Lonchura striata: one gene and its partners. The protein of the gene in region 3 purifies or fractionates together with the protein of the main gene of each other region. This does not show direct contact. Links are inferred from orthologs where the notes say so. Each region holds a gene or a part of one and is shown on either strand. Other genes may lie near its edges. The genes, in order: GRWD1, DCAF6, CUL4B and BRWD3.

What was found.
Region 1: the proteins of CUL4B (region 3) and GRWD1 purify together in Homo sapiens (co-immunoprecipitation; 4 studies listed by BioGRID and IntAct, with this or other methods). This does not show direct contact. The link is inferred for Lonchura striata from reciprocal best matches to the Homo sapiens genes CUL4B and GRWD1.
Region 2: the proteins of CUL4B (region 3) and DCAF6 purify together in Homo sapiens (affinity purification with mass spectrometry; 6 studies listed by BioGRID and IntAct, with this or other methods). This does not show direct contact. The link is inferred for Lonchura striata from reciprocal best matches to the Homo sapiens genes CUL4B and DCAF6.
Region 4: the proteins of CUL4B (region 3) and BRWD3 purify together in Homo sapiens (affinity purification with mass spectrometry; 3 studies listed by BioGRID and IntAct, with this or other methods). This does not show direct contact. The link is inferred for Lonchura striata from reciprocal best matches to the Homo sapiens genes CUL4B and BRWD3.

Annotation. Positions count from the first base shown.
Region 1 is NC_134640.1:2,324,925-2,331,983, reverse strand, and holds the start of GRWD1 (glutamate-rich WD repeat-containing protein 1), read right to left. Parts: upstream 3,002-7,059; 5' UTR 2,893-3,001; coding exon 2,850-2,892; intron 1-2,849. Other genes in the region: carnitine O-palmitoyltransferase 1, muscle isoform, read right to left, coding at 3,891-3,983, 5,657-5,752, 6,599-6,700. UniProt on the Homo sapiens protein: Histone binding-protein that regulates chromatin dynamics and minichromosome maintenance (MCM) loading at replication origins, possibly by promoting chromatin openness.
Region 2 is NC_134604.1:15,140,689-15,148,219, forward strand, and holds the start of DCAF6 (DDB1- and CUL4-associated factor 6), read left to right. Parts: upstream 1-4,526; 5' UTR 4,527-4,593; coding exon 4,594-4,687; intron 4,688-7,531. Other genes in the region: MPC2 (mitochondrial pyruvate carrier 2), read right to left, coding at 345-385, 3,720-3,825. UniProt on the Homo sapiens protein: Ligand-dependent coactivator of nuclear receptors. Enhance transcriptional activity of the nuclear receptors NR3C1 and AR. May function as a substrate receptor for CUL4-DDB1 E3 ubiquitin-protein ligase complex.
Region 3 is NC_134616.1:9,129,923-9,137,736, reverse strand, and holds the start of CUL4B (cullin-4B), read left to right. Parts: upstream 1-4,810; 5' UTR 4,811-5,456; coding exon 5,457-5,991; intron 5,992-7,814. Other genes in the region: MCTS1 (malignant T-cell-amplified sequence 1), read right to left, coding at 1-38, 744-896, 1,362-1,372.
Region 4 is NC_134616.1:4,924,625-4,932,246, forward strand, and holds the start of BRWD3 (bromodomain and WD repeat-containing protein 3), read left to right. Parts: upstream 1-4,617; 5' UTR 4,618-4,745; coding exon 4,746-4,782; intron 4,783-4,833; exon of another isoform or gene 4,834-4,867; coding exon 4,868-4,926; intron 4,927-5,045; exon of another isoform or gene 5,046-5,090; coding exon 5,091-5,120; exon of another isoform or gene 5,121-5,190; intron 5,191-5,370; coding exon 5,371-5,430; intron 5,431-7,622. UniProt on the Homo sapiens protein: Plays a role in the regulation of cell morphology and cytoskeletal organization. Required in the control of cell shape.

The DNA of each region.
Region 1 (7,059 bases), on a different chromosome or scaffold from region 3:
CCTCAAATCCCCAAAACCCCACTGAAATTCCCTCCAAAATCCTTCCTCAAAACCCCCCCAAATCCTTCCTCAAAACCCCCCCAAAATCCTCCCTCAAATCCCCCAAAACCTGCCCAAAATCCTCCCTCAAACCCCAAAACCCCACTGAAATTCCCTGCAAAATCCTTCCTCAAAACCCCCAAAACCTCTCTGAAATTCCCCCAAAATCCTCCCTCAAACCCCAAAGCCCCACTGAAATTCCCTCCAAAATCCTTTCTCAAAACCCCCAAAACCTCTCGGAAATTCCCCCAAAATCCTCCCTCAAACCCCAAAACCCCACTGAAATTCCCTCCAAAATCCTCCCTCAAAACCCCCAAAACGTCTCTGAAATTCCCCCAAAATCCTCCCTCAAACCCCCAAACCCCACTGAAATTCCCTCCAAAATCTTTCCTCAAAACCCCCAAAACCTCTCTGAAATTCCCCCAAAATCCTCCCTCAAACCCCAAAGCCCCACTGAAATTCCCTCCAAAATCTTTCCTCAAAACCCCCAAAACCTCTCTGAAATTCCCCCAAAATCCTCCCTCAAACCCCAAAACCCCACTGAAATTCCCTCCAAAATCCTTCCTCAAAACCCCCAAAACCTCTCTGAAATTCCCTCCAAAATCCTTCCTCAAAACCCCCAAAACCTCTCTGAAATTCCCTCCAAAATCCTTCCTCAAAACCCCCCCCAAATCCTTCCTCAAAACCCAAAACCCCACTGAAATTCCCTCCAAAATCCTTCCTCAAAACCCCTCTGAAATTCCCTCCAAGCCCTCCCTCAAAAATCTCCAAAATTCCCCCAAAATCCTCCCTCAAATCCCCCAAAATCCTTCCTCAAACCCCTCTGAAATTCCCTCCAAAATCCTTCCTCAAACCCCCAAAACCTCTCTGAAATTCCCCCAAAATCCTTCCTCAAAACCCCCAAAATCCTCCTTCAAACCTCCCCAAATCTTCCCTTCAAACCCTCCCCGAAACCCCTCCAAAATCCCCCCTCAAAACCCCCCAAAATTCTCCCTCAAACCTCCCCAAACTCCCCCCCAAATCCTCCCCAAAACTCCTCCAAAATTCTCTCCAAGTCCTCCCTCAAACCTCTTCAAGATCCTCCCTCAAACCTCCCCAAACCCCCTCCAAAATCCCCCAAATATCCTCCCTCAAACCTCCCCAAACCCCCTCCAAAATCCCCCAAATATCCTCCCTCAAACCTCCCCAAACCCCCCCAAAATCCCCCAAGATCCTCCCTCAAACCTCCCCAATCCCCCCCAAAATCCCCCAAAAACCTCTCTCAGCATCTCCCGGCTCCCCTCAGCCCCTCCAGCTCCCTCATCCTCACTGGTTTCCCCTCCGGACCCTCCAGCCCCCTCAGGATCCCCCGGATTTTCCTCAGCCCAGTTCCCCTCATCCCCCCGGTTCTCCTCATCCTCTCCAGCCTCCTCATCCCCCGGTTCTCCTCAAGATCCCCCGGTTCTCCTCATCCTCTCCAGCCCCCTCAGGACCACCGGTTTCCCCTCAGGATCCCCTGCTTTCCCTCAGCCCCTTCAGCCCCCGTCAGGATCCCCCAGTTCCCATCAGGATCCCCCAGTTCCCATCAGGATCCCCCAGTTCCCCTCATCCCGGTTCCCTTCAGGATCCCCCAGTTCCCCTCAGGATCCCCCAGTTCCCCTCAGGATCCCCCAGTTCCCCTCAGGATTCCCCAGTTCCCATCAGGATTCCCCAGTTCCCTTCAGGATCCCCCAGTTCTCATCCCCATCCGCTTCCCCTCATCCTGGTTCCCTTCAGGATCCCCCAGTTCTCCTCAGGATCCCCCAGTTCCCCTCAGGATCCCCCAGTTCCCCTCAGGATTCCCCGGTTCCCCTCAGGATCCCCCAGTTCCCCTCAGGATCCCCCAGTTCCCCTCAGGATTCCCCGGTTCCCCTCATCCCCATCCGCTTCCCCTCATCCCGGTTCCCCTCAGGATTCCCTGGTTCCCTTCAGGATCCCCCAGTTCCCCTCAGGATCCCCCAGTTCTCATCCCCATCCGCTTCCCCTCATCCCGGTTCCCGTCAGGATCCCCCAGTTCCCATCAGGATCCCCCAGTTCCCATCAGGATCCCCCAGTTCCCCTCATCCCGGTTCCCTTCAGGATCCCCCAGTTCCCCTCAGGATCCCCCAGTTCCCATCAGGATCCCCCAGTTCTCCTCATCCCGGTTCCCCTCAGGATCCCCCAGTTCCCCTCAGGATCCCCCAGTTCTCCTCAGGATCCCCCAGTTCTCATCCCCATCCGCTTCCCCTCATCCCGGTTCCCCTCAGGATTCCCCGGTTCCCCTCACCCGGTTTCCCCTCAGGACCGCCAGTTCCACTCATTCTCCCGGTTTCCCTCATCTCCCCGATTCCCCTCAGCTCCCTCATCCCCTCCAGCCGCCTCATTCCCCCGGTTTCTCCTCATTCCAGTTCCCTTCATCCGCCCGCTTCCCCTCAGGATCCCCCGCTTCTCCTCATCCTCTCCATCCGCTTCAGGATCCCCCGGTTCCCCTCAGGATCCCCCCGTTCCCCTCAGGATCCCCCGCTTCCCCTCATGCCCCGGTTCCCCTCATCCCCCGCTTCCCCTCATCCCCCCGTTCCCCTCATCCCCCCGTTCCCCTCAGGATCCCCCGCTTCCCCTCATCCCCCGCTTCCCCTCATCCCCCGCTTCCCCTCATCCCCCCGTTCCCCTCATCCCCCCCCAATTCCCCTCATCCCCCCCCAATTCCCCTCATCCCCCGCTTCCCCTCATCCCCCCGTTCCCCTCATCCCCCGCTTCCCCTCAGGATCCCCCGCTTCCCCTCATCCCCCGTTCCCCCCGCCCGCAGCAGGTACCGGTGCCGGCGCGGTGATACATCACGTACGCCTCCTCATCCATCACCAGCTCCTCGTCGGGCCGCAGCGGCGGCCCCTGCCCGGGCACGTACACGCGGCCGGGCCGCTCCGCCTCCGCCCGATCCCGGGCCCGGGCCCGGTCGCGGTTCGCGGCCCTGACGCGATTCGGGGCCCGGGCTCGGGACGCGCCGCGCCGCGCCGCCATCTTGGCCGCGAGGGGAGGCGGCGCTTCCGGCGGGAGCCGCGCCCACTTCCGGGTGATGGGTGGCGGCTTCCGGTCACGTGACAGGCGATGGCGGGCGAGCGCTCCCAGCGAGTCCCAGTAACACCAGTGACACCAGTAACCTCCCCAGTAACCTCCCAGTGAGTCCCAGTAACACCAGTAACCTCCCAGTGACCTCCAAGTGACCTCCCAGTGACACCAGTGACCTCCCAGTGACCTCCCAGTGAGTCCCAGTAACACCAGTGACCTCCCAGTAACACCAGTGACCTCCCAGTGACCTCCCAGTAACACCAGTGACCTCCCAGTGAGTCCCAGTAACACCAGTAACCTCCCCAGTAACCTCCCAGTGACCTCCCAGTGACACCAGTGACCTCCCAGTGACCTCCCAGTGACCCCCCCCAGTGACCCCCAGTAACCCCCAGTGACCTCCCAGTGACCCCCCCCAGTGACCCCCAGTAACCCCCAGTGACCTTCCAGTGACCCCCCCAGTAACACCAGTGACACCAGTAACCCCCAGTAACACCAGTGAGTCCCAGTGACCCCCCAGTAACCTTTCAGTGACTCCCAGTAACACCAGTGACCCCCAGTGACCTCCCACTGACCCCCCCAGTAACCTCCCAGTGACTCCCAGTAACACCAGTGACCTCAAGTGTCCTCCCAGTCCCCCCCAGCCCCATTCCCAGTCCCCCGCAGTCCCCTCCCAGTGCTCCCAGTTCCCTCCCAGTTCCCTCTCAGTCCCTCCCAGTCCCTCCCAGTGCTCCCAGTCCCCCCCAGTCCGTCCCAGTTTGCCCAGTCCGGCTCTGCTCGGTCCCAGCCGTTTATTGGGGGGGGAGGGGCGGCCCCTCCCCCCCCCGCAGCTGCCGCAGCTCCGCCAGCGCCGCGCGGAGGCGCCGCAGGAACAGCCGGGGGTCCTGGGGGCACAGGGGTCAGGGACACCCGAAAATACACCCCAAAACAGCCCGAATACACCCAAAATACAGCCCGGAAACAGCCCAAATACACCCCAAATACAGCCCGAATACACCCAAAATACAGCCCGGAAACAGCCCAAATACAGCCCAAAACAGCCCAAAATACACCCAAAATACAGCCCGGAAACAGCCCAAATACACCCCAAATACAGCCCGAATACACCCAAAATACAGCCCAAAACAGCCCGAATACACCCCAAAATACAGCCCGAAAACAGCCCAAATACACCCCAAAACAGCCCAAAATACACCCAAAAATATAGCCCGAAAACAGCCCAAATACAGCCAAAAAACAGCCCAAAATACACCCAAAAATACAGCCCGAAAACAGCCCAAATACAGCCAAAAAACAGCCCAAAACCAGCTCAAAATACATCCAAAAAACAGCCTGAAAACAGCCCAAAACCAGCCCAAAATACACCCAAAAATATAGCCCAAAACCAGCCCCAAATACACCCAAAAAACAGCCCCAAAACAGCCCAAAATACACCCAAAAAACAGCACCAAACAGCCCAAAACACACCCAAAAAACAGCCCCAAAACAGCCCAAAAACAGCCCAAAAACACCCCAAAATACACCCCAAAACCAGCTCAAAACCACCCAAGAACAGCCCAAACACCCAAAATACACCCAAAGTACACCCAAAATACAGCCCAAATACACCCAAAATACAGCCCAGGAAGGGTGGGGGGAGGTTTTGGGATTTTTGGGGGCAGGATTTGGGTTTTTTTTGTGGGGATGTTTTCGGGTTTTTTTGGGGGGGGTGTTGGGGGAGGTTTTGGGGTTTTTTTGGGGGGTTTGGGGGAGGTTTTGGGGTTTTTTTAGGGGACTTTGGGGGAGGTTTTGGGTTTTTTTGGGGCAGGATTTGCATTTTTGTGGGGGGTGGTTTTTGGGTTTTTTGGGGGGATGTTTTCGGGTTTTTTTGGGGGGGTGTTGGGGGAGGTTTTGGGGTTTTTGGGGATTTTTGGGGGGATGTTTTCAGGTTTTTTTGGGGGGTGCTGGGGAGGTTTTGGGGTTTTGGGGGATTTTTGGGGGGATGTTTTCGGGTTTTTTTGGGGGGGTGTTGGGGGACGTTTTGGGGTTTTTGGGGATTTTTGGGGGGATGTTTTCAGGTTTTTTTGGGGGGTGTTGGGGAGGTTTTGGGGTTTTGGGGGATTTTTGGGGGGATGTTTTTGGGTTTTTTTGGGGGGTGTTGGGGAGGTTTTGGGGGATTTTTGGGGGGATGTTTTCGGGTTTTTTTGGAGGGTGTTGGGGAGGTTTTGGGGATTTTGGGGATTTTTGGGGGGATGTTTTCGGGTTTTTTTGGGGGGTGCTGGGGAGGTTTTGGGGTTTTTGGGGATTTTTGGGGGGATGTTTTCGGGTTTTTTTGGGGGGGTGTTGGGGGAGGTTTTGGGGTTTTTGGGGATTTTTGGGGGGATGTTTTCGGGTTTTTTTGGGGGGTGCTGGGGAGGTTTTGGGGGATTTTTGGGGGGATGTTTTCGGGTTTTTTTGGGGGGTGTTGGGGAGGTTTTGGGGTTTTTGGGGATTTTTGGGGGGATGTTTTCGGGTTTTTTTGGGGGGGTGTTGGGGAGGTTTTGGGGATTTTGGGGATTTTTGGCCAGCCCTCACTCACCGTTTTCGGGGACCCCTCCCTGCAGGAGATGTGGACGAGGACGGGGCCGGCGTCCCCTCCCCCGGTGAAGGAAACCCCGTAACCGTCCTGGTGGGGCTGGGGGGGCCCAGTCAGCACCAGGGACCCCCAGGTCCTCCCAGTCCATCCCAGTTCAACCCAGTTCAACCCAGTTCAACCCAGTTCATCCCAGTTCAACCCAGTAACCCCCAGTTCCATCCCAGTAACCCCCAGTTCCATCCCAGTCCATCCCAGTTCATCCCAGTTCAACCCAGTTCATCCCAGTTCATCCCAGTTCCATCCCAGTTCATCCCAGTTCAACCCAGTAACCCCCAGTTCCATCCCAGTAACCCCCAGTTCCATCCCAGTCCATCCCAGTTCAACCCAGTAACCCCCAGTTCAACCCAGTTCCTCCCAGTTCCCCCCAGTCCCCTCCCAGTTCCCTCCCAGCCCCTCCCAGTCCCCCCCAGTTCCCTCCCAGTCCGTCCCAGTCCCTCCCAGCTTATTCCCAGTCCCTCCCAGTCCGTCCCAGTTCCTCCCAGTTCCCTCCCAGTTCCCCCCCAGTCCCTCCCAATCCCTCCCAGTTCCCCCCCAGTCCCTCCCAATCCCTCCCAGTTCCCCCCCAGTCCCTCCCAATCCCTCCCAGTTCCCTCCCAGTTCCCTCCCAGTTCCCCCCCAGTCCCTCCCAGTTCCCCCCCAGTCCCTCCCAGTCCCTCCCAGTTCCCTCCCAGCCCCTCCCAGTTTATTCCCAGTCCCTCCCAGCCCCTCCCAGTCCCTCCCAGTTTATTCCCAGTTCCCTCCCAATCCCTCCCAGCCCCTCCCAGTCCCTCCCAGTTTATTCCCAGTTCCCTCCCAATCCCTCCCAGCCCCTCCCAGTCCCTCCCAGTTTATTCCCAGCCCCTCCCAGTCCCTCCCAGTCCCTCCCAGTTTATTCCCAGTACACACCGGGTTGAAGCCGCCCCCCGCCGGCCGCAGGGGGAGGGGCAGCAGCGGTGGGTGTGGCCGGGGGGCGGGGCTAAAGGCCAGAGCCCAGGGCTGCCCCAGCACCTGGGGGCGGGGACATGCAAATGAGGCCGGCAGCCACACCCAACGCGCCGGCCAATCGCGGTGACGCTCGTCAGGCCACGCCCTCGGGTGGCAACGCCTCATTGGCCAGATGAAGTCAGGCCACGCCCTCCTTGGACACACCCACCTCATTATAAGGCAATTTTATGCAAGCCACACCCTTCCTGGTTGAGGACACGCCCCCTTTTAAACAAAACCTGCCCCTCATGCCACACCCACTTCCTTATGTGGTAATTAATAACCAAGCCACGCCCACTTCTCTATATGGTAATTTACACACACCCACTTCTTTATATGGTAATTAACACCCAAGCCCCACCCACATCCTTATATGGTAATTA
Region 2 (7,531 bases), on a different chromosome or scaffold from region 3:
AATATACTTATCCGTATAAGATATTTCTCAAATTCCTCAATCTCAGAATAGACACATGCTTTATGAGTTTTGCATCATGCCTACCTTGAGCAACAGGTGGTGTTTCACAAGAGAACCCCAGTGAAAAGCACAATTCTTCCACAAAGCATTTTCCCCATGTTGTATCCCCTTCAGTTTGTGTTGTTACTAAGGCTAATTTTGTTCCTCCCCATATATTAAGAATTAGAGCCTCTTAATCTTTCTGCAGCCTCAAGTATCTGCTGGGAATCTCTTGCTTGCTCAGTGTGTTGCTGCAGGTTGCCCTGGGCTTGACACCCAGACACCAGCTGGCATCTTGTACTTACCCATTTCATGACAGGTGCCCAGAAAAACACTGTTTTGGGACCTGAGGGAGAATGGGAGAAAAGAAGTTAAATTACTTAGTAAGGTGTGGCTGTTTTAATAGCCACAGTAAGTTTGTTTTATTTTAATTGTTGTTTTTTTTTAATAATGAATTGTTTATATTAGAGTTTCTATTGCTGTACAAGCTCTAGCACCTAATACTCATAATTCATCACCTCAGTGCATCAACCTTCAGTTGTATAATCACTCCACACATTTCTGCAACAGTTGGACAGGATTTTTTATATCCATGTTTAAGCAACTGAGGACACTGGAGCAAGCAAAATGCATTTTTAAATTAAAGACTTAGGAAGAGTCCTAGGAATATGGAAAACACCCCAAAAATCTACCAGTAAGCAAAGGAGGATTTGGGGGAAAATGAGGAAATCTCAAGAAGGAAGGGAGGAAAATCCAATGGCATGGGACCTGGGGGAAAAACAACTCTCTTATGAATACTTGTGATTTTCAATGGTGCTAAAACAGCAACTGGTTGGTTAAAACAAAGCCCATGTAAAGCCACGCCTACAACTATGCCAGAAATCATTAATCTGGGACTTCTGCTCCAAGTCTTAAATGAGAGACCACAATTCAAATTACCAACCCCTATGAAACAGTCAGAAATTAACCTTTAGGTCACTGCTCAGCACACTGATAACATGCAAAATGAAGCCAAGTTTTCACTATAATATATTACATAGGAGTAACCACCAGGACTTTGGTTCCTGCTTTTTATGAGAGCTATTTCTTTCACTAATAATTCAGCCTTAAAAAGACCTTGCACTAACTACTTGTACTTCCAGTTTTAACCATCCTCAAGTTTAAAACTATGAATTGGGAAACAAAAACTGGCTTGGCAGCCTTGCATAAAGCCCTTTTTAACCCACCCAGCTTGTGATCAAGTTTCAAACTCCATTTAATAACTACAAGCACACTACTTTTTGTCTAATATTGTTGAATATTAGATAACAGCAGCTTAATGTTCATCCTTTAAAGATATAAACTTCAGCTGCTGTTCTCTTAGGCACTTACTTGGTGTGTCAGTATCAGGCTGCAAATACAGCTTGTTATAAATAAATCAGTCTTACAGAGTAGCTTTAATTACTAACATTTATCTTATTCTAAAAAGCAAATTCAGATTTGGAGTACCAGAGGATGTGGGATGAGTATAAATTATTAAACTGACATTCCCTAAACAGCTAGTATAGTTTTCAAGAAGACTGACATTAATTTTTATTAATAATAGAAAACTCAACCATTTCAAATTGATGACTGCAGAAATAAGAATTGGAGAGGGGGAAGGTACCAAACCAAGTTTGTAATTAGGGAAGACTGTTAAACACCTCTCCTTGGAGCACTCCAGCAAGCACCCAGCCTGGGTGAACTCTTCCCAGCTCCTGACATCCAGAATTTTTCAAGGATGAATACAACAGCAGCACATGAGAGCAGGGGAACACCAGAGGCTAATTTAGGTATCACATACATGACCAGTTTTATAGAATTTATGACTTCTATTAAACGTAAGAAGTCTTTGTGCTGAAAACTTGAGTTTAGTCAGGCAAAGTGAACCAGAGCAGCCAAAGGGGAGGGAGCACAAGCTCAGCCCTTGCTTTCCCATGGCAACCTGGGGAGTTGGTGTGCCAGGCCCTCCACTGTCCTCCAACAATGCCAGCCAAAGAAACAGTTTTTAACAGGCACCAATTCTTTTGCTGGAAGCTTTCTTTATGCCAGAAAGTGCTTCATGCCTCACAGGTGATTTATAATTTCATGACAATGACGCTTATATTCCTGAATTAGACTAGAGATTAAGATGTCACTGGAGATAAAAGAAAGTCTTTCATTTTTAACCCACTTTTTTTCCTGCAGAGTGACATCTATTGCATAACTTTCTCAAAGACACACCTTCAAGGCTAAAATAGAAGTTGCAGGGGTTCAGTTTCTATACTTGCTTGTGCTGTGACTTTTCTCACTTACACCATCAGTATGGATTATGACAGGTATATAACATATATATACACAAAGAATCCCTAAAAATGGATTTATTACTGACAACATTATGGTGATGACCAAGAGCGGCCCACAGGCAGTTTTGTGAAGTGAAAAGCACTGCAAGAGAACCTCCAAAACTTTCTCCAATTCCCACTACAGCTCTGTTGAAGAAGGAACATGGATGTTCCCAGCACTTGCTGTGCCTTGCATCCACTAAGAGTATCTGGAAGCTGTCACATTTCACACCAGTGGAATGTGTCTCTCAGTGTTGGACATACTGTCTCTTTATGTATAAAAGCAATACGCTAATGTTAAATATATTGGTCTAGTGAATTCAGTATAAATCAAACATTTTGAGGACTGCACTCTTCATCCTTTGTGATTCCTTTAGAACAACGATTTTCCTTCCAAGAAAGGGCCGTTGTAAGAGGATAGAGCAAGTGACTGCAAACCAAAGTCCATTTTCACAGTGCATATTCCTGGTAGGTGAAGAGTCAAGGATGCCTGTGACACTGACAGGAAACAGTGGGGACAGAGCCTATGGAATGCCAGGATTTTATCGGGCGCTCGTTTTAACAACCGACGCAATTTGTTTACATGACAAACACCACGTAGATGGCACTGAACGAGATCCTTTTACAGGAGGTTTCTCCCTAATAACACAACCCCCCACGTTTGCCCATGGAAAGGTAAACTGCAGGTCAGGTGAGGGGAGCTCATTCTTTACCCGCAGGAGTCCTCCAGCGAATTCACCAAAGGCATGAGCTGTCTTTGGTAGAAGCGTGGGATTCAGCAGAAAGGAAATAAAACCAAAGGCTGCCTGACTTGACCAGGGCACAGTTCAAGATCAGAAACCCTGGAAGTGCCCAAGGCCAGGCTGGATGGGGCTCTGAGTAGCCTGCTCTGGTGGAAGGTGCCCCTGCCCGTAGCAGCGGGTGGAACGGGATGATCTTTAATATCCCTTCCATCCCAAACCATTCCAGGATTCTATGATTTTTCCAGCACATCCTCTTGCAAGAAGCGGTTCCCGAGGCATCCAGGCCCCTTTAGACCCACGACATCCCCTGGGCCAGGCTCTGGCAGCCCAGGCGCTCCCTGGATCCGCCCCGCGGTACCGCGACAGTGACAGCAGCGCATCCATCCCGGAACCAGCCGTGCCGTGCCCGATTATCCTGCTCTCCCTTCAGGAGCAGTCAATTCCCCGTTACGGAGCAGGACTCCGCTCCAGGGCCGCCCTCCCGCGCCAGAAGCACCCGAACCGCGTTACTGCGGCCCCGCCCGTACGGAACACATCCCCCGCGCCACCATCCCCGCCGGTCCAACCGGGGGCCAAGGTGACCCGCGCCCATTACCCGCGGGGTGGTTGTAGAAGGGCCGGAACCGCGGCGGCAGCATGAGCTCGATGCGGTCCAGCAGGCGGTGGTAGGAAGCGCGGAGCCCCGCGACTGCGGCCGCCATGGCGAGGGACGGGGCGAGCGGGGTCCGAGTGGGGAGAGAGGGGCGAGCGGGCACCGAGCGGGGGCCGCGTCCCGTCCGTCCGTCCGTCCGTCCGTCCTCCGCCCGGGCCCCGCCCCCCGGGCCTGCCCGCCCGGCACTGCGCCCTGATTGGTCACCGCCGCAGGGGGCGGGGCGGGGCGGAGAGCTGCGCGCGCTGTTATTGGCTGAGCGCGCTGGGCCGGGCAGCTGGGGAGAGCTGGCGCGCCCGCCGCCCTCGGGAAGGGCACAGGCGCCCGGCTCAGAGATGGCGGCCGCTGCTTCGCTCTCCCCTCAAGATGGCCGCCGCGGGAGAACCCTGCGCTGCGAGTAATGCGCCCTAAGCCAAGATGGCCGCTTTGCGGCTTCACAGCGCTTCACTGGACGGGGCGGGTTTATTCCCGGCGGAGCCGAGCGCCCTGACGTCACCCTCCACGCCCACGACGCGCCCTCCCCTCAGTCGGGGCGGGGCGACGTCACCGGCTCGCGCGAGACGCCCATTAATCTCGGGCCTCCGTGCCCCCTCCCCGGCGGGCGTGGCCCACCGCGGCCGGGGTGGGCGTGGCCCCCGCGCGCGGTGGGCGTGTCCCGGAGCCGCCGCGCCCCTGGCTCGCGGTCGGTGCCTCGGCGCGAGGCGGGCGCGGGGCGCGCGCGCGGGGCCCGCTCGGCGGTTCCCATGGTGATCGCGCGCGCCCGGCCGGTCCCGGCGCACCCCCCCGGCTCGGCGCGCGCCCTTCCCGCCCGCGCGGGGCCATGTCCCGCGGGCGCTGCCCGCACCTGCTGTGGGACGTGCGGAAGCGGACCCTGGGGCTGGAGGAGCCGGGACTGCTGCGCAGGCACTACCTCGGTAAGGACCCGCGCTCGGCGGGGCGGGCGAGCTCCGGCCGTCCCGGGCGCCCACCGAGCGGGCAGGGGGCCCGGAGCCCCTTCCAGGCGCCGCCGCTCCCCCGCTCGGCCGCGCTGTCCCGCAGCTCCGAAGTTTCCTGTGCCGCGTGTGGGGCGGCGACACCTCCAAATCCACCCTCCGCGACCTCAGGGGCGGTCCGGGACACCCCGGCCCCATCCCTCCGCGCTGCCCGGGTGGCCTGGGGCCCGCCGGGACCCCCCGGTCCCTCGGTGCGCGGCTCCGCTCGCCCGCCGCGCCTGTTTCCCGAAGGAACTGTTGCACGCGGAGATCCAGCCGGGAAGTTGGGCGGCGGCTCAAAGCAGCTCCGGCGTCGGGCGTTCCGTGCCCGGGGCCGGGCAGGGTCCGGATTTACCGGCGCTGAGCTGCCGGCGGCTGGGAACAAAGCACGTAGACGCCTCCGGGGTGATGGCGCGGCCGCTGTCCGGCGGCCCGAGGTGTTGCCGGGCTCCGGGAGAAGCCGAGCCGCCGCCGGCGCTCGGCGCGGCCATCCCCCGCGCCCTGGTGTCCCCGAGCGCTCCGCGGGGTCCCCGCCGGCGGCGCGGCCCCGGCTGCCCCCGCGCCCGAGCCAGGCATTTGCACTTCCCAAGTTACAGCCAGCGCCACTTTTCCTCCCCGAGGCCGCGCTCGGCGTGAAGGAACTATCGATGTTTTTTGTCATGGCGCAGGTTTTGTCTAAACACGCTGCCAAAAAGTATTTTTAAACGCCGGTGTTTATTTCACGTGTTGTCGGAGGTGTGGCGATCCATCGTAGCGGCGCTGGGGATCTGGGGGTTGTCTCTCCGGGGTAGATGGCTGGGTGGGTCGGGAACGCGTTCTTTTGTGCTCGTGTGCCAAAACAATTCTTGCCTTGGAGTGGAAACCTCGAGTACTCGAGATGGAGCTTGATTTACAGCGTTGTAAAACGAGTGTCGATCCGTGTCTCCCAGGCTTTCCCGGCTGTGCTCGGTGGTGATGGTCTGTCGTTTGGGTTTTTCCTGGTGGAATTTAAGGTGGGATATCACATTACTGAGCCTAACTCAAGAGTTTTCTGCCTGTAGTCCCTGAGCGCTCAGTAATCCACAAAACGTTAATCGAGGAAATCAAGGTTATTGCTGTAGGTTTCTACCGATTGCAGAGAGGGGGGTGTGTCGGTGTGTGCCGTGCACAAGTCCCTTGGAAAGAAATTTTGAGTCCTAAAATAAAAAAATTGATTGAGAACTAACGATCTAGCTGCTTTTGATTTTGTTTAGTCTCAAGCTGTGCTTGGCCAAGCCTTAGCCGAGGATTGTTATAACTTTTAGTGATCAATCCTTCTGACTGGATTTTTTTTTTTTTACTTTTTGTCTGCTCCAGTTGGAGCAGAAAACCTCAATGTTAAAATGAGGACTGTAGTGTGCAGATTCTGAAGAAGTGCCTTTTTTTTTTTTTTTGGAAGAAGACCTTTGTTGGTTTTTTTCTTCAGCTTTTACATGGTTGTGTCTCTGAGAGTTGAAGTACTAAGATTCGAATAGTAGAAATCATCTTCCCAGACTTCCAAGATGTCTTTTCTGGATGCTACTCCAATAAAATGTTTCTAACTTTAGTTAAAACTATGGTGCCTTGGTTAAGGTCTCATATTTACTATTCTTCCTTTCACCTAAACAAGTTCAGTTGCTTGAGAGCCTTGAAAAAATAGGACCTGGGAGAGCCTTCCCACGGAATTGAAGTTGAGATCTGCATTGGTGGTGACAAGACATGCTCAGTCCGTACTGACTCCTGCTTTTCACCAGGGGGTTGGTACAGGGTGTGCTTGTCTTGTGGAACCACTGCACTTTTACCCAAATGGCGTTTATGGCCTTGATAAACCCACTGATTTGACTGCTAGTCAGGTGTGGTTGTTCAAGTGCAGATTTCCTAGAGAAGAGGCCTGTTGTGCCTTTTTGTGTGCAGGGCAGTGTAGGTGTAGGTCTTTTCTCTTTCAGACTTCAGCAGCTCTGTGTACGAGCTTTGTTCTCTGGCCCACTGGTCAAGACTGCCCTGGTCAGCTGGGTGCAAGTGCTTATTGGTCACTGCTGGTCTGATCTGCGTGGGAAGTAAGGCTTCTTCCTATTTATAATTTCTTTTTTTCAGTAGTGTTTCAACAGTCTGGCAGGCAGAACAAATGGAGGGCAGGAATTTCACTGTAACTTAGGAGTAGTGGGAGACTTGAGGCATTGTCCATGTGCATTTTTTTTTTTATTTGAGCAAATCTGTCTAAACAGTTATGGATTCAGGTACAAAATGAAGTAATTTATATGTCTCTTCTTTGCTTGCTGCACTTTTTCAGCCACCAAATGAAAGGAAAAGCATTACAGCAAGTTCATGACTAACAATGCAATTGGGAGGAAGATGTCTGTGTGGATGGTAGTTAATGAGCCCTTCACTGGGATGGTTGTGTTGTGCTACAGTGTAAAATATCAGAAATATCGACAGTGACCATGTTTTGAAGAAAGACATCTGAGAACTAATTGCTGTTTCCTATTTACTCGGTGTTTTAGTTTCATGTGAATTGGCAATCAAGTGGCACTCTATAAATAGCCTCTCTCAGCTTCTGAAAACAGCTGCTCCAGGAAGGGTCTGTGTAATGTACCTTTCCATGCAGATAGCTCACCCGTGGAATTTATGGCCTTGCGGAAACTCTCTCTGATTTTGCAAGATCTCTAAATAATTGCTTTGAAGTCCAGTCAGTTCTGGACAGAGTTTCAGAGAAACGACTCATGAAGATGGGGCTGTAGGTGCATCTGTGGGATGTATCCTTCAGCTGTTATGCTTTGGTGAGAACTCCTG
Region 3 (7,814 bases):
ACTCCCCATTGACAGTGAGGATTTCTATATGCTCATGACTGCAAGATTAAAAAAAAAAAATTTGAGAGCTACTCAGCCATTCTGTACTTTAAATACAGGATTTTGCTTTATAAAGTCCAGTCTATCTTAGCACCTGAGAATAAAAACAGTCAATTAGCAACAAAATTTAAAACTAAAAATATTATCTTTTTATATGACTTGTTCTTCAGCAGTGGTCTCCTGTTCACTTCTTCCCCCTTTGAGAAAAAAGAAACCTACTGACAAAATACACAAACTGCATTTCCTTGGCATTGCTTTTTGAATGCAATACAAAGAGTGGATAAGGAGAAGGATGCAGCAAAAATGTACCACCCTCTATTTAAAAAAAGGGAAAATAATCAAGATAATACATGGAAGCCTGAAAATACTACAAAATGTTACTGACGGGAATCCAAACAATTTTGTGCTTCCATGTCCATCAAGCTGAATGCTTCCCTTCAACAACAGGCTGGTCCTTGGAGAGACCCTGAATACACTGCACACTAGCTACTAGGAAGATTTTTAAGTTCCTCAAGCATCCTACTAGCATGTGCCTTTAAAGCAAAATGAGCACAAGCCAACTTTCTGGTTTGGCCATAACACGGACTATCTATTAAGAGATGATGGATGCCCATCAAAAGTGCTAGGTTTATCTACTGTACAAAGTAAACAAAGAAAGCCATCCTAGCACCTTGAAAGCAAAGTTTAAGAGAAGAGATACTTACCATCTTACTATTTTAACTGGATCTTTCTTTGGCATGATTTGGTTTAGCCATGGTTCAATAACAGGAAACTGGTCTATCAGTTGATTCTTGATACCTTTAATAACTGAAGTCTTCAGCTGGATACAGTTTGATACATTCTCCTTTTCATCAAATCTGTCAAATGAAAGCATTTTAGAAATGCATAATTTTCTGCATAAAATATGCATTTTTCAGCAGCTGTCTTCAGAAATGCTTATAAATTCACTATAAAAATCTAATAGCAGACTGACTGTCCAACTTTCAAATGCAGAAATTTCATGAAGCTTAAATTTGCCCCCTTGGAACACTTGGGCTGGGGGAAGGCGGGGCAGCCTGTCTTCATCCCTAAACTTTTTGTACGGCCACAGCACGTGTTTAGTCTCACACATTAAGCCCGGCACACAGCGCTATTTTATTCAACTCCGAGAGTACTCTGCTGGTACCACAAACACCCACAGCCCCGTTCCGATGCGAATCCTTCACGTCCACCGCAGCGCCGGGCCCTGCCCTGCCCTGCCCTTCCCTTCCCTTCCCTTCCCTTCCCTTCCCTTCCCTTCCCTTCCCCCGCGCCTCCCGCGGCCCCAGCCCGGCCGCACTCACTTCTTGAACATCCTGCGGGCGGGGGGCGCCGGGCGGGCGGGCGGGCCGGGGCCGGCGGGCACCCACAGCCTGGGCGCTGCTCACACGCGGCTCCGGCCGGGCCGTCCCTCCCTCCAAGCCCGCCGGAAGCGCCGCTCCATCCCCGCGGAACGGGCGGGGCCAGCCGGCAGCGCGGCGCGGCCCCGGCGCGGGCGCGGCCCCGGCGCGGGCGCGGCCCCGGTACCGGGGCCGCGCCCGCGCCGGGGCCGCGCCCGCGCCGGGGCCGCGCCCGCCCGCTGCCCCTTGCACAACTGCGTTGTTATTAACCTCCCACAGCAGCCCGGCGCCTGCTACTTACAGGCACGGCGCTGGTTTCCCAGGTAATGTATCGCTTTTTGGTAAAATAAGAAGAGCAAAGTGCTACTAGCTGCTGGCATTATTTAAACACAAAATACGTTTATCTGGAAAAAAACACAGCCATCTTCAAACTAGCAGAGCAGAAGCTATCGTCACGCCAGCTTCAGAGTAGGACACGAGATACTATCAACAGTATTCTGGGGGGAAAAATAGAGTTCTTGTCAAACAGCAGATACTGTTCCCGGCTAGGGAATCGGTCCCAGGTGACAGTACCACATCTTCAAAGTGGGGAGGAAGCAGAAACCTGGCTTCCAGAGAAGATCTCAGCTGCCAGGCAGACAGATGGATCTGGTGGAGTGTATCAGAATCAAATTAGGTTTTGTTTGGTGATGGCCGCCGCAATTGTGAATAGAAAACCATAGCAGACAGAATTTACCACACTGCTTTTTCACTCTCTGAGGAGCAGACCTGTGTTTGTTCTTTAGGCTGGTGGCTGCTACATAAACAGACATAGAGGTGATCACCCAGTTTCTTTTTAGTGTCATGGAAATGCCAACACTAGGATAAAGGAGAGGGAGGAGAGGATATAAAACATCAGGTTATCATTATGCTAACAACCGAGTTTCTTTTTTCCATACAAAACAATTTCATCACCTTTGATACTATAACAGGTAATTAAAACCTAATACTTAAAAGTTATATTTGCCAAAGTAAAATCAAGCATTATACATGGTATCATTCAAATAGTGCAGTACAGCTTTGGGAACAAACACACTAATAACTTTTTGAAAGTATAGGAATGAACTATGGCATTACATAAACAGTCAAGCACTTCACTTATGAATGCCACCTTCACCTACTTTGTAGCATCCCCAAAAATACTGAGTGATGATCAAGAATTCAGTTTTAACTGAACCACAGTGACACTGCTCATCCCCAGGATTAGAAAATGAGAATGGGAGTTAATCACACTGAAAAACTATTCCATACGTTATGGTGATCCTCAGAAAAACTTTCATCAAATAGTACTTAGCCATGCAAACAACCACATTTTTTAAAACTGTAATGAAAAATTCATCATATTCTACCTCAAGTGATAGAAACACAAGGTAAACTTCTACTCTTCTTGAGAAACACAGCACATCTCACTGAAGTCACCTGAGCCACCAGTTTCATGTCTGCCTAAAACAGCAAGATTAGGCCCAAATTTTCAAAAAATGCCTTTGTCAAGAGGAAGGTCTTACCTCTACACTTTTACTACCTTCAAGCAGTTGGACCATTGGTTCCCTTCAGGCTGAGCTAACCTTTAGTCTGGTCTCAACTTCTCCACCTTCTCTTCCAAATGCTTTTTGCTGGGGTAGGTAACTGCTCAGTCAATCTAAACATGCCTGTACAGAGGACTTCTGAAGAAGGCTCCAAGGACCTAGGCTGGACTTCATTAACACAGCTCTCAGTGTTACTGTTCAGCCTCAACACAAAAAAGCTGGAGACTTTCATCTGGTTGCAGAGTCACTTAAAAGTACCAAAATTTTAAAAGCATGGTACCTGGACAAGACTGACAAAGCAGGGGGAACATCCAGCAACTGTTCTGACAGAAACCACCCCTCAGGATCATGTGCTAAATAGAAAGGACTTAGGATTTCACTCCCCATAAGTTTTGGTAGAAAAGGGGGAAAATCCATCATACTTCTTCCTGGATCCCCAGAACTTTACCTTGCCTCCACCTGCTCTCTCACATCCAAAAGCTGAATATTCTAACTGATGGGACAAAGTCATTGACTGTCCCACCCCTGAATGATTGCATAGACAGCAACTTCAGGAAAAGGGACTCTTACTCATGTCTTTTTTATAAATCAAATCCTTTCAATGAACCAAGAATGTGTAGAAATTTGGCATCTCTTACATCTCTAGACCTCTTATCTATTTTGGCTTAAGTGAACATGACAGTTACTGGGGAACAGAGGAAAATTTTACAGCATACTCACATAACTTATTTACTTGGCAAACCTGTTTTTTTCTATTATATCCGACTTGGAATGCAATTTAGTAGCCTTGGGAACCATACAATCTCTTCTAAAGCCAGTCAAAGCCAGACTGAAGCTTTGTTTTGCTGGCGTTTTTTCAACTGGAAAAAGTGCTTTTCTACACATCACTAGCATGACATTCCAGGCCTCAGGAGTTGTCTGACAGTGACTCAGACATAAAACATACTCCAGAAGAGCTTTAGTGACATTACATTCCATGTACCAGTTTCTGTCAAGAGAATTAAGTCTGTGTTTTCCTATCCAACATAAAAGTGCCACTAGATTTTCCCCTGAGGAGCTGCCTGGTGTACAAGGTATGCTCTGGTGAAGGCCGTGGAGAATCTCCTGGAACAAAACCTCATCACTTGGCTTGTTGCTTTTTCCACAGCCATTTCTCAGCAGTGGTTGAACCCTAACAACATTCCTCAGGAGTTTACAGTCCCTTTGGCAACAGAACCACCAACATCAAAAAGGAGACTCCAAAGGCCCAGGACTTCTGTTCTTGTTTCTAAAAGTTACAAAATAAACAAAAGAAAAGCAAACCATAGACTGTAGCCCAGTGCAAGTAGTATGTATTAAAATCGTATCAAACAGCTGACGCTAAATTATTTATAAATAAGTGTAACAAAAAGCATTTCCAGACCAAGCTAACAGGCTTAGCTAACAGGCCCGGGCCTAGGCCGCAGGCTCCGGCGGAACGAGCAGACGGCGGCCGAGCCTGCGGCGGGGCCGGGCCGGGTGAGGCCGCCTGAGGCCGGGCGGGCCCCCGGAACGGGCCCCGGAGCGGAACGCCCCGGAGCGGCACTCCCCGGTCCCGCACTCCCGCCCCAGGGGCGGCCCCAGGCCGGCGCGGGGGGCACCGAGCCACGATCAGTTCCGGCGGGGCCGAGGGCGCCGGCGGGGCCGGAGGCGGGTCCCGGGGCGGGTCCCGGGGCGGGTCCCGGGGCGGGTCCCGGGGCGGGTCCCGGGGCGGGTCCCGGGGCGGGTCCCGGGGCGGGTCCCGGGGCGGGTCTCGGGGCGGATCCCGGGGCGGGTCCCGGGGCGGGTCCCGGGGCGGTCCCAGCGCTTCCCGGCCGCGCTTCCGTGCGCCGCGCCCCGTCATGCACGGCGGGCGGATGCGCCGCCATTTTTGCGCTCCCTCTGCCGTGCAGTGACAATAACAACCCGGCCGGGCCGTCCCCCCTCAGCGAGCGCGGGCACAGCGGAGAGGGGGGAGCGGGGCCGAGCGGGGCCGAGCGGAGCGGCCGCGGGCGGAGCGGGAGCGGGTGGGGCCAGGGGCTGGAGCCGAGGCCGGAGGGAGCCGCGCTCAGCCCTCCCCGCTGCTGCTCGGCGGAGACGAGGCGGCCGGAGCAGGAGGGGAGCGCAAGGAGAAGCCGGGGAAGCGGGCAGCCGTGGGGAATTCTGCAGCTGGAGAGGAGAACCGAAAGGAACTGGTGGGCGGCAGGAACGGAAACGCTGCGCTGGGAAAGGAGTAAAAGCAGAAAGGCAGCGCCAAACTACGGGAAGAACCAAAGTAATAAAGAAAAGGGAAGAGGAGATAAAGTGATTCCTCCGATAAAGAAAAACGCGAAGGAGAAGAAATACGGAAGGACTTCACTGATGAGAAGGAGGAGTTGAAAGACCCCCCACCCCCCCCCCGAGACAGTAAACAGAGACTGACTCTAAAACTCTCCCCCTCTTCTTTGTCACACCACAAGGATTTGATGCCCCTCAGCCTGTTCACTTCTGTGTGTTCATGTTTCCCACAGGTTTCTCTTCCCCCAACCCCCCAGCTGCAGCCCAGGAGGTCAGACCTGCCACTGATGGTAACACTAGCAGCAGCTCCTCCTGCAAGAAGAGAAAGCTAAATAACAGCAGCAACAGTAATTCCGAAAAAGAAGAATTTGATTCCATTTCCTCCTGCACCTCTTCTCCTTCCAAAAACACCTCCTCATCATCTTCCTCTGTCATCACCACTTCCTCGTGCTCCTCCTCAGGGGTTGCTTCCTCCAACCATCACCTCCAGAAGAAGCTGCGCTTTGAGGACTCCGTGGATTTTATTGGACTCGATGTGAAGATGGCTGAAGAGTCTTCTTCCTCCTCCTCCTCTCCTGCTGCCTCTTCTCAGCAGCAGCACCAGCAACAGCTTAAAAATAAAAGCCTTTTAATTTCGTCAGTGGCTGTGGGGCACCATGCAAATGGCCTGACCAAAGCTGCCTCCTCTACTGTTTCCAGTTTCGCCAACAGTAAACCTGGCTCTGCCAAGAAATTAGTGATCAAGAACTTTAAAGGTAACAGGCCATAATTTGTCACAACCTGTGGGGAGCTGACACTCGACTTCGCGATTTGTTTTCAGCCTGAAAGCCCAAATAGCCCCAGGTTTTGCAGGAATTGCTTTTCTGTGCTGAACATTTCCATATTTATGTAAAGGGGAATCATGATTTCTGATGTGTGCTTGCCTGGTCATGTACACATCCTGAGCTACACTTTGCTGCTTGGAATTATTTTTCAGACTCCATTCTTTCTCTTGAGAAGGCCTTCATTTGTATGTTAGGTGTAAGGTTTTACTGCCTAAGTGTTAAATTGCCTTTGTTTTAACATTTGATACCGTTGTTCTAGTAATTCTGATTCAGAGCTTAGTGTATATTTTAGCCCAGTTTATGATAAGCCTTTGCATAGAATGTGGGGGTTTTTTTAATTGGCCTTGAATCTGCATGTCTTATCTCTATCCTTGTTGTCTGTTTATAGGATAATCTTCATGTGCTTAGCTTTAAATGTTGAAACTAAGGTGATTATCGGGTTATTATGGTGGATTTCCTTTCAGGTTTCCCCACTTGCTTTTAAAGTAGATAGTTCAGATTTTTGCAGTTTTTTCCTTTTAATGGAAAGCTGTCATTTTTAATTGTAGTATCTTTCCTCTGTCTTAGCTTACTCTTACTTTAGAAGTTTACTTTATTTTATAAATTCTTTCCAAACACACATTTGAGATTTTTTAGTAGTGTTAGTAGAGACCAAGGTGAAGTAGAGAAATTAAACTTTTCTGATGTGATGCTGCTTTATTTTCTAGTAAACAAAAATACAAATAGGTAGGCAGAAAGCTTAGCTAAAATGCTGCCATTTTTTCCCTATGAAGATGAGGCGATCGTGAGCTTTTTTTATTTCCTGCTTCTTGCTGGCTTCCAAAATAGTCCACTACCTTGCTTTCCTGGCTTGTTTGCATTTTGGTTTGTGGAGGGGTAAAAGATATTACCGAAATTAAAATTAATTTTGAAATACACAATTGACACAAATCTTCTGTAGACATGTTGCATTAGGTAAGGATTAGTAATGGTTTTGCAGGAATTCATGATCACACTGTAACTCTTTGCTTTAAGGTTCCAATTCTCAAAAATGTTCTCCACCCATCAAAGCATCATAATTTAATTTGACTGATTATTTTAAAATACCAAGCTATGATGCATTATAGGCTGCTCTTCAGTTCCTTGTGCACTGTAATCTTTAAGGGAAGTTAACTTCTCACTTTTAAAATACCTGTTAAATGTCACGGATTGCATGGTACTGTGATCATTGCTTCTGAATGGGTATTTGAACCACTTGCTTAAAAAGGATGTTTTGGTATTCTGACAGCTTTGCTTTTTATTTATCTCAGATGCTAAACTGAATAACATTATTAAGATATTTGCCTTCTCTTAGTGTGATAACAATGACATCCTTTACAACTTAAATAACTTCGTAAAATCCATAACCTTGGTGTTGATTGCTCAGAGCATAGTCAGGAGTTGTTAGTGAAAATAGGCAAGTCCATGGTTAGTTGTCTCTAGATCCAGATCAGGCAGCTAATGTTTGGGATATTGCCAGTATTGTACAAAAATGCTTGGAAGAACAAAATAATTACTTCTCTCTTTTAATTATTTCTATGGAATTCGTAAAGTTTTAAAATTTGTTTTTTACTTGTAGGTGTGTAAAAGTCAATTTTAATAGAGTATAAACTCTGGGCCAGTTTCACCTGTTGGTAGCATGGATGTGCATATGTCATCTTCCTTCTCAGACTTTCTTCTTCTGTCTTCTCCATTTAGGAATGTCCTTATTAGAACAAAAATGGTCACTTTGGGTA
Region 4 (7,622 bases), about 4.2 Mb from region 3:
GATGTCTGGCACCATCTAGAGGAATGACTGGAATGATGCAGCAGAGAAATAAATATTAAATTATTAAAAATAGCAAAAAACCTGGAGCAGATCTTGTGTAATATCTAACAGCTATTTAGATAATATTTATCAGCTCTTGTCGAGGAAGAGAACCACGGGAAGGAGTGGGAACTTGGAGGTTTGTCCGGCAAAAAGAGGATGTTGGTTTGCACACACGAGCCCTGCACTCCAGCAACTGTAATTAGTACTAATTACTTTGCATCTCATTTATTTTTAAAAATAAACTATGATATCAAAATTTGAGGTTTCTCTATGTAAAGGTCTTAAGCTTGGACATTTCAATATTCATTTACTCATAACTGTGTAGCACAAGGCACCAACTCCTGAATTCCTTCTGAACAGCTCTTATTTTTGAATCAGCTAAACAAAATTTGGATTTAACTACTATCCATTTAGCTCCATATAAAAGGCCCAAGATGAGCAGAATGTTCATAAAAATCCTTGTGGGTTGCTTCCAACTCAGGGGTGTTCTATGAAATGTACACAGAAAATATATATTAAAAAAAAAATACTAAAATGTATCATTTGTTCCAGCGTTCAAATTCAGCTGGATTCAGGCATGTGCATCCTTATCTACATTTACTAGAAAGGTACAATGCATGTAAATCTACCACACATACACAATTCCAGTCTAAATTTTCTTTTTTTTTTAATTTTAACTGTACATTTCTGGTTATGCTAAACCACAGTTCTGTTTTCACACATGGTTAAAACAGGATTTGACTCATGAGGGCAGAATAATAATAAATAAAATAAAACCACCTTTACCTGGTTTTACAAGCTGATTGTGGGAAAGTTCGCTTAATTTTGTAGTAAAATTAAGCAGGGGTTGAATTTTACTTTTAACTGCAACTAAGAGCAAAACTCCCTAAAACACCAAATGGGGAGAAGCAATGGGTATTTCAATGTCATCAGTACCTACTCCTAAAATTCCTCAAAAACTTTCAGTTTTTTATTTATTTAAAGAGCAGTATGGAAAGAAACAGCTACAATCCAGCTTCTTCCTTAAAGCATCTCTGCTCCCGAATCCTTCTGTGGCTCATTAGTCTGTTCTCCCTCCTCCTGCCACCAGCTGCTGCTGGCATTTACATAACAGAGCTCTGCTCTGAGGAAAGATGAATCAGCACATCCATAAAATCCTGCTTTCACTCCAAGATTTACTATCACCCCCAGCATGCTGCTGCTTGGATGCAGAGGATCTGGAAAAGGATGAGTCATGGAGCTGCAGAATCCACGTGTGGTGTGGAAATGGAGCTCCTGGGGAAAGAGAGGATGGGCATTACTCACCAGACATGATTCCTGGAGGGGAAAACCCAGGAGAGGTGGGAAGAGGTATTGATAACAGCCCGTGTAGCAGGCTTGGGGAGTAATGAGGCAACTGGGAGAGCGCTAAGGAGAGGAAGCTGATGTGCCAAGGAGTCAGGAATGCTGGGAAGAGGCTCGGGAGTGACTGCACAGCAGCACTGTCCAGCCACAGCCAGGCCGAGGGAAGCTCCCTGTGAACTGTTTGGGAATGAGGAATGCTGGCTGTACCTGCCCCTGTGCAGGTTCCTGCACAGCAGTGCCCTGCAGCACACACGGGACACACCGGGGCCATTCCCAACACTCTCCCCTCCTGCTGATGCAAGAATCCATCCGAGCCACGATGTGGAGCAACACTGGCTGAGCACTGACCCGAGGCTGTGGACTGAGCACCAAGCAAGGAGCAGCCAGGCTCCCAGCTGGAATGCTGCAGGAAGGACACAAGCTTACTTTGGGAGCATTTTTTATCCCAGGCTTTTGAAAGCTCCTTTTAGTTACTGCAGAAATTCCCATGGGCTCTAGACAGGTCCAAACAGAACAATCCTGCCTGGTGGTGCTGCAGCTTCTCCTGTACCACCCCCAAGCTCAAATAAAAGCATATCATGAGTGGAGAGATTCAGTAAGGCACCAAAAGGTGCCAAGGAAATGCCACATTCCTAAAAAAATACAGAATCACGGAATCCCAGAATGGTTTGGGTTGGAAGAGGCATTAAAGCCCATCCACCCCCACCCCTGCCATGGACAGGGACACCTTCCACTATCCCAGGTTGCTCTAAGTCCCATGCAACCCAGCCTTGGACACTTGCATGGATGGGGCAGCCACAGCTTCTCTGGGCGCTCTGTGTCAGGGCCTCTACACCGTCACAGGGCACAATTCCTTCCCAACATCCCATCTAACCCTGCCCTCTGGCAGTGGGAAGCCATTTCCTCTTGTCCTGGCACTCCAGGCCCATGTGGTCTCTCTCCATCTTCCCTGTGGGGTCCCCTCAGGCACTGGAAGGCCACAGTTAGGTCACTCTGGAGTTTCTCTTCTCCAGGCTGAACAATCCCAATTCTCCCAGCCTCTCCTCGCAGCAGAGCTGCACTAGCCCTCTGACCATCTCGGTGCCTCCACTGCATTTGCTCCAACAACTCCAGGTCCTTCCTGTGCAGGGCTGGAGGCAGCTCTGCAGGTGGGGGTCTCACCCAAGCACGCATGTGGAGCTGTTGGCACTGAAATGCACCAGGACATGGTGCTGGCCAGTATTTATGGGGCTGATTTTCCCTTGACGTGGAATTCTGATCAGCTCAGGATGATGAATTTGTACTTTCAAGGCATATTATGAAACATCATCCGTGTTTTCTCCTTTGCCTTCCCATCACGCATGAAAAGATGAGCTTGCAGTTCTGGGCTCTGAAGGCAGGTGGGAGAAACATTCTCCTCCGGAGAGTGGGATCAGTGTGTGCTTCTCCTGGCTGGGAGCTCATTCTGGGAACAGCAGTTTCACCCTCTCCTGGGAAGCTCTGCAGCTTTGGAGCCTCTGGGGTTCTGCTGGGAAGCTGGGAGAGCTGTTACTACTGGAAAGCCACTGGAATTTGCAGCTTGGTGAGGTGGCACCTCTTGTCTGTCCACTTATGCGCTGAGCCATGAACCGGCCCTGAAAACATTCCAAGAGTAATTGTTTGGAGCCTACCAGAAAAGTGGAAAGGGACTTGGGACAAGGGGAAATGGCTTCCCACTGCCAGAGGACAAGGTTAGGGGGGGTATTTGGAAGAATTTTTTATTGTGAAGGTAGGGAGGCCTTGGCACAGATGCCCAGAGAAGCTGTGGCTGCCCCTGCATCCCTGGAAGTGCCCAAGGCCAGGCTGGACGGGGCTTGGAGCAGCGTGGGGTAGCAGAAGGTGTCCCTGCCATGGCAGGGGGTGGGACTGGATGAACTTTAAGGTTCCTTCCATCAAACCATTCTGTGATCCTATCAACAGTCACCGAGAACTCAAGAACTTTAGAGGATGACGAGGAGGAATCAGGGTCCACTCATCAGCCAGTTAATCCAAGCTCCTGGCACAAAACACCTTCCACAGGTGGATGAAGGGACAGGTGAATACAGGCGAATTATGTGGAGCAGCCTAATGCCAAATCCCCAAATCCTTCTCCCCAGATTGGCTGGGTGCCTGAAGGCATTCTGTGGAGCTGCCAGAAGGAAGGACTGCATCCTGACTGCACAGCAAAACTCTGAGCCACTGCTCCACAGCAAACCCAGTCCTGAGCAGCTGCGCTTAAACTAAATTTATTCTTAATATTACCAGAGCATTGACTCACAGTGATTCAGCTCTCGGTATTCCAGGCATGAGGAGAGGCTGTCCTTGGCTATTCCACAATGACAGTGGCTTTTACACTGGAGTTCTAACACCAAATGTCACGTACTTTAGATAAAATACAATCACTTGATGTGTTTTAGCAACTCCTCGCTGAAGTGACACCGATTTCAGAAGCTGTGACGGGACGCATCCCATGGAAAAATATTTATTTCCATTAGGACGATCTACTCTAACCCTGACCCCTTTGTTCCTTGGAGAGAACAGGTGCTGCATCCATCATATCGGAATTTCCTGGCCACTGGGAGCAAACACTTTTATTTAACTCCTAAGGTCACCCCAACCTGAGACACTTCCCTGCAGCCAGGCCTTGTTTACCGGGAGCCCGGAAGGGCTGTCCCTTCCCCACCGCGCAGCCCGGGCTCCATCCCCCTCCCCTTGCCAGGACCCCTAAGGTTCCTGAATCCCTTCATCCTCTTAAAAACTGCTTCACTAGCGGCACACACGGGGCTCCACTTCCCAGGAGCTTCCAGGCAGGAGGCCAGGAGCACTGAGCCGAGCACACTGCGGCCGTGAGGGCCGGAGCCGTGAGGGCTGAGGCAGGGACACCCGGGGAGCGCCGAAGCCGCGAGGCCAGAGCCGTTAGCGCTCCCCCGTGACGCCTACCGGGCCCTCCGAAGCACGGCCCGGCGCAGCGCTGCCCCGTGACGGCGGCCGAACGCCCGGGGAGATCGCGGCCCGGCGGCCCGGCCCTTCCTCCTCCTCCCCTTCCTCCTCCTCCCTCAGCCGCCGCCCGGAAGTGGCGCGCGCCCCCCCGCGGCGCGTGCCCGCCCCGCCCTTCCTGCGCCCCCCCGCCCGCCCGCCGCTGCCGCGCGCGCCCCCCGGCGGCGGGCGGCGGCGGTGCGGGCGGTGCCGGCGGCGCTCGGTCCGCGGAGCCGCGATGAGCCCGGGCGGGACCCGCGCCCGCACCCGCACCGGGACCCGCGCCCCGCACCGGCACCGCCGCTCCGGCATGGGGCTGCGCCCGCACTAGGAGCCGAGTCCCCCCGGGGCGCCATCCGCCACCTCCCCTCCCCCTCCCGAGGAGGATGGCGGCGGCGGCCGCCCCGACCCAGCTGGAAGCCGGTGGGTATCGCTGGCGGCGGGGGCTGCGCTCCGCACCCCCTCCGTTCTTACCGTGTCTAACCCGCTCTCTCCCGCCTCTCCGCAGAGCTCTACTACCTGATCGCACGGTTCCTGCAGTCCGGACCCTGCAAGAAATCCGCCCAGGTGAGCGCGGAGCCGGCGCTCCGGCCGGGCCGGGCGGGCGGCGACGGGACGGGACGGGACGGGACGGGACGGGACGGGACGGGGCGGCGGAGCCGCTGCGCTGCGGCCGCCGGACTCACGTCCTTTGTGTGTGTCTGTGTGTCTGTGTGTCCCTCTGTCCCCAGGTACTGGTAGAGGAGCTGGAGGAGCACCAGGTGAGGCGCCTGCCCCGGCGGGACGGGGGAAGCCCTCGGGACGGCGGGGTCGGCGTTTGCCCTGCCCCGTCTAACCCAGCCCATCTCCGCCCGGGACACCCGGCGGGAGCGCGGCTGCCCCGCGGCGCGGCCGGGGCCAGCGGCCGGGGGGGCTCCATCCCGGGGGGCGCGGGCGGGCACCGGGGGCGCTGCCCAGGGAGGGGTCGCTCGGGCTCTGACGGCCGCCCCCGTCCCCGTGTCCCTTCCGCAGCTCATCCCGCGGCGCCTGGACTGGCAGGGCAAGGAGCACCGCCGGAGCTTCGAGGACCTGGTGAGACAAGTTTCACTCCTGACTTTTCCGACAACTTCCCTCCGCCCCCCGCGCCGCCGCCGCCGCACCGGGCGCCGCGTCCCCCCCTCCGCCCCGTTTGTGTGTCCCCCCCCCATAAGCGCGGCGGGCTGCGCCCCGCCGAGGCCGCGGCGGGCCGCGGAGTGCGGAGCGGAGGGCAGGGCAGGGAGCGGAGGCGCGGCGGGGCCGGGGGCCGCCGGCGAGACCCCCGTGAGCCGCCCGGTGGCACCGGCGGAGCGGCCGCGCCGCGCTATTGTGGGGCCGGGGGTTATCCGAGGGCACGCACCGGGGCCCGGCGCGGCCAATGGCGCCGCGCCTTACAACGCGGAGAGCGGTGCGCGGCGATGTGAGGCGGCAGCTGATTGGCTGCGGCGGCGCCGCGGCGGAGCCGGCGGGGCGGGGGGCGCGGGGCGCGGGTCCCCCCGGCTCCGCCGCTCCATCGCCGCCGGCCCCGGGGCTGCCCCGCTGCGGGCCGGGCTCGGCCGCTCTCCCGCAGCCCGGCGGGGGGGACGTGCCGGACGTGCCGCCGGGCCCGGCGCTGCCGGGCTGGGTCAGGGATTCCCGGCCTGCGGCGGCCTGCGCGAAACCCGCCCCTCTCCGCGGTGTCTGGGCCTGCTGTCAGGCAGGAAAGGAGGGGTTAGGAAGTGTGGTGTTGTGGCTGTTAAATGCCCGTGAAATGCACGGGGTGGCTGCTGTTGCTGGGTGCGAAACCCCATGAATGTGTGTCATTGAGGAAGGTCAGTCCCTCCGCAAGGCCGGCGGTGGGAGGTGGCCCTTGGCCCCGCGCCCCCCGGGACGTGTCTGTGAAAGCGACAACATTAAAGCCCTTCCAGTCCTTTTCCAAAGGGCCCAGGCGGCCTTGATTTCATTTCTGGGAGCTGTGGGCAATGACGTGTGGCGCTGATGTAGCACTCTGCAGTTGGAAGGCTGTAAACTTCCCCACAGCGCTTGTGGCGCTGATACCTGTGCCCAGCGCTGGCAGCTCACCTGGAAGGAATGGGAAGCACGTCCTGGCCTCTCCCGGCTCCGTGGAGCAACAGTGACGTGGGATTTTGCCGTGACTCTTGCTCAAACTCCTCTGCATCTGTCTCCACTTTAGCAACATTGTAGGAGCTCAGGTGTGGACAGAACTCCTTGTGCCCAGAGGAGACCTTTGGTGCCGCTGCCTTTCCCTTTCTAAAGCCTGTTCAGAATTTCAGGTGGAAGCCGGGCTTCCTCATACCTCTGGTGGATAATTCTGGCACTGTAAATTGAGTGAACAGACATAAAGTTCTGCAGTCAATAAATTTTGGTGCTCTGTGGTCTTCTTGAGAATCTGAAATCTAACTGGGCTGTCTCAGGTTTAACGTGGGACTACACCCAATATCCAGGAGGAATATTAGCAGTGCCACTATGAGGTCTGGTGTCAGAGTGGTTTTGCCTATCACTTTGATTAACATACACTTTTTTTCTATTTATTCTCTGTGGCACAGATATAAAAGCCTTGAAACCTTAAAATCTTTTTTTAAATGTGTGTTTGAACATGTTGAAACGTACTTTTCTTTAACATTTCAGAAACTGGAGAAAAACCGTTTTGAAGTGAGTTTTGGAGTTAATGGGAAATTTCTTATTTCTGTATAAACTAATATCGTAATTAAATTTAAGATTTTTTTTGTCTTAAACTAATCAGCACTAATCGATGCTTTTAGTTTGCCCTTTTATATAATATTATTTAACTTTTTCTCATGGTTTACAGTAAGGACCAGGATTATAAATGAATCCTTACAGTGGGGCAGGTTGATGCCAGGTGGGATGAGCTGAGTTTCTGTCTGTGAATCCTCAGAATGTTAAGGATGTTGAAGAAAGGCTTTTTCTCCCTCATTGCTTAGGGTTTGCTGTGTTTGGAATTTGGACTTTTGGCTGCATATGATTGTTTATTAACCTGAGCCCCTCGACTTCAGGGCTGGCTGGATGTCTGAATGCAATGATCAGAACAGAACCAGGGTTGTGAAGGACACAAAGCACTCCAACCTTCATTTTAATTATCTCAGGCACATAATGAACCCAAATTAAATTGGAGGTGCCAGCAGTTGGAGGTAAACGGGTTTTTTCTATCCTTTTCTACTTTTTACAGCCAGAAACCCAAAATCGTTTACAATCTCAGCTGGGTGGTGCAGCTACTCTGGTCAGGCAGG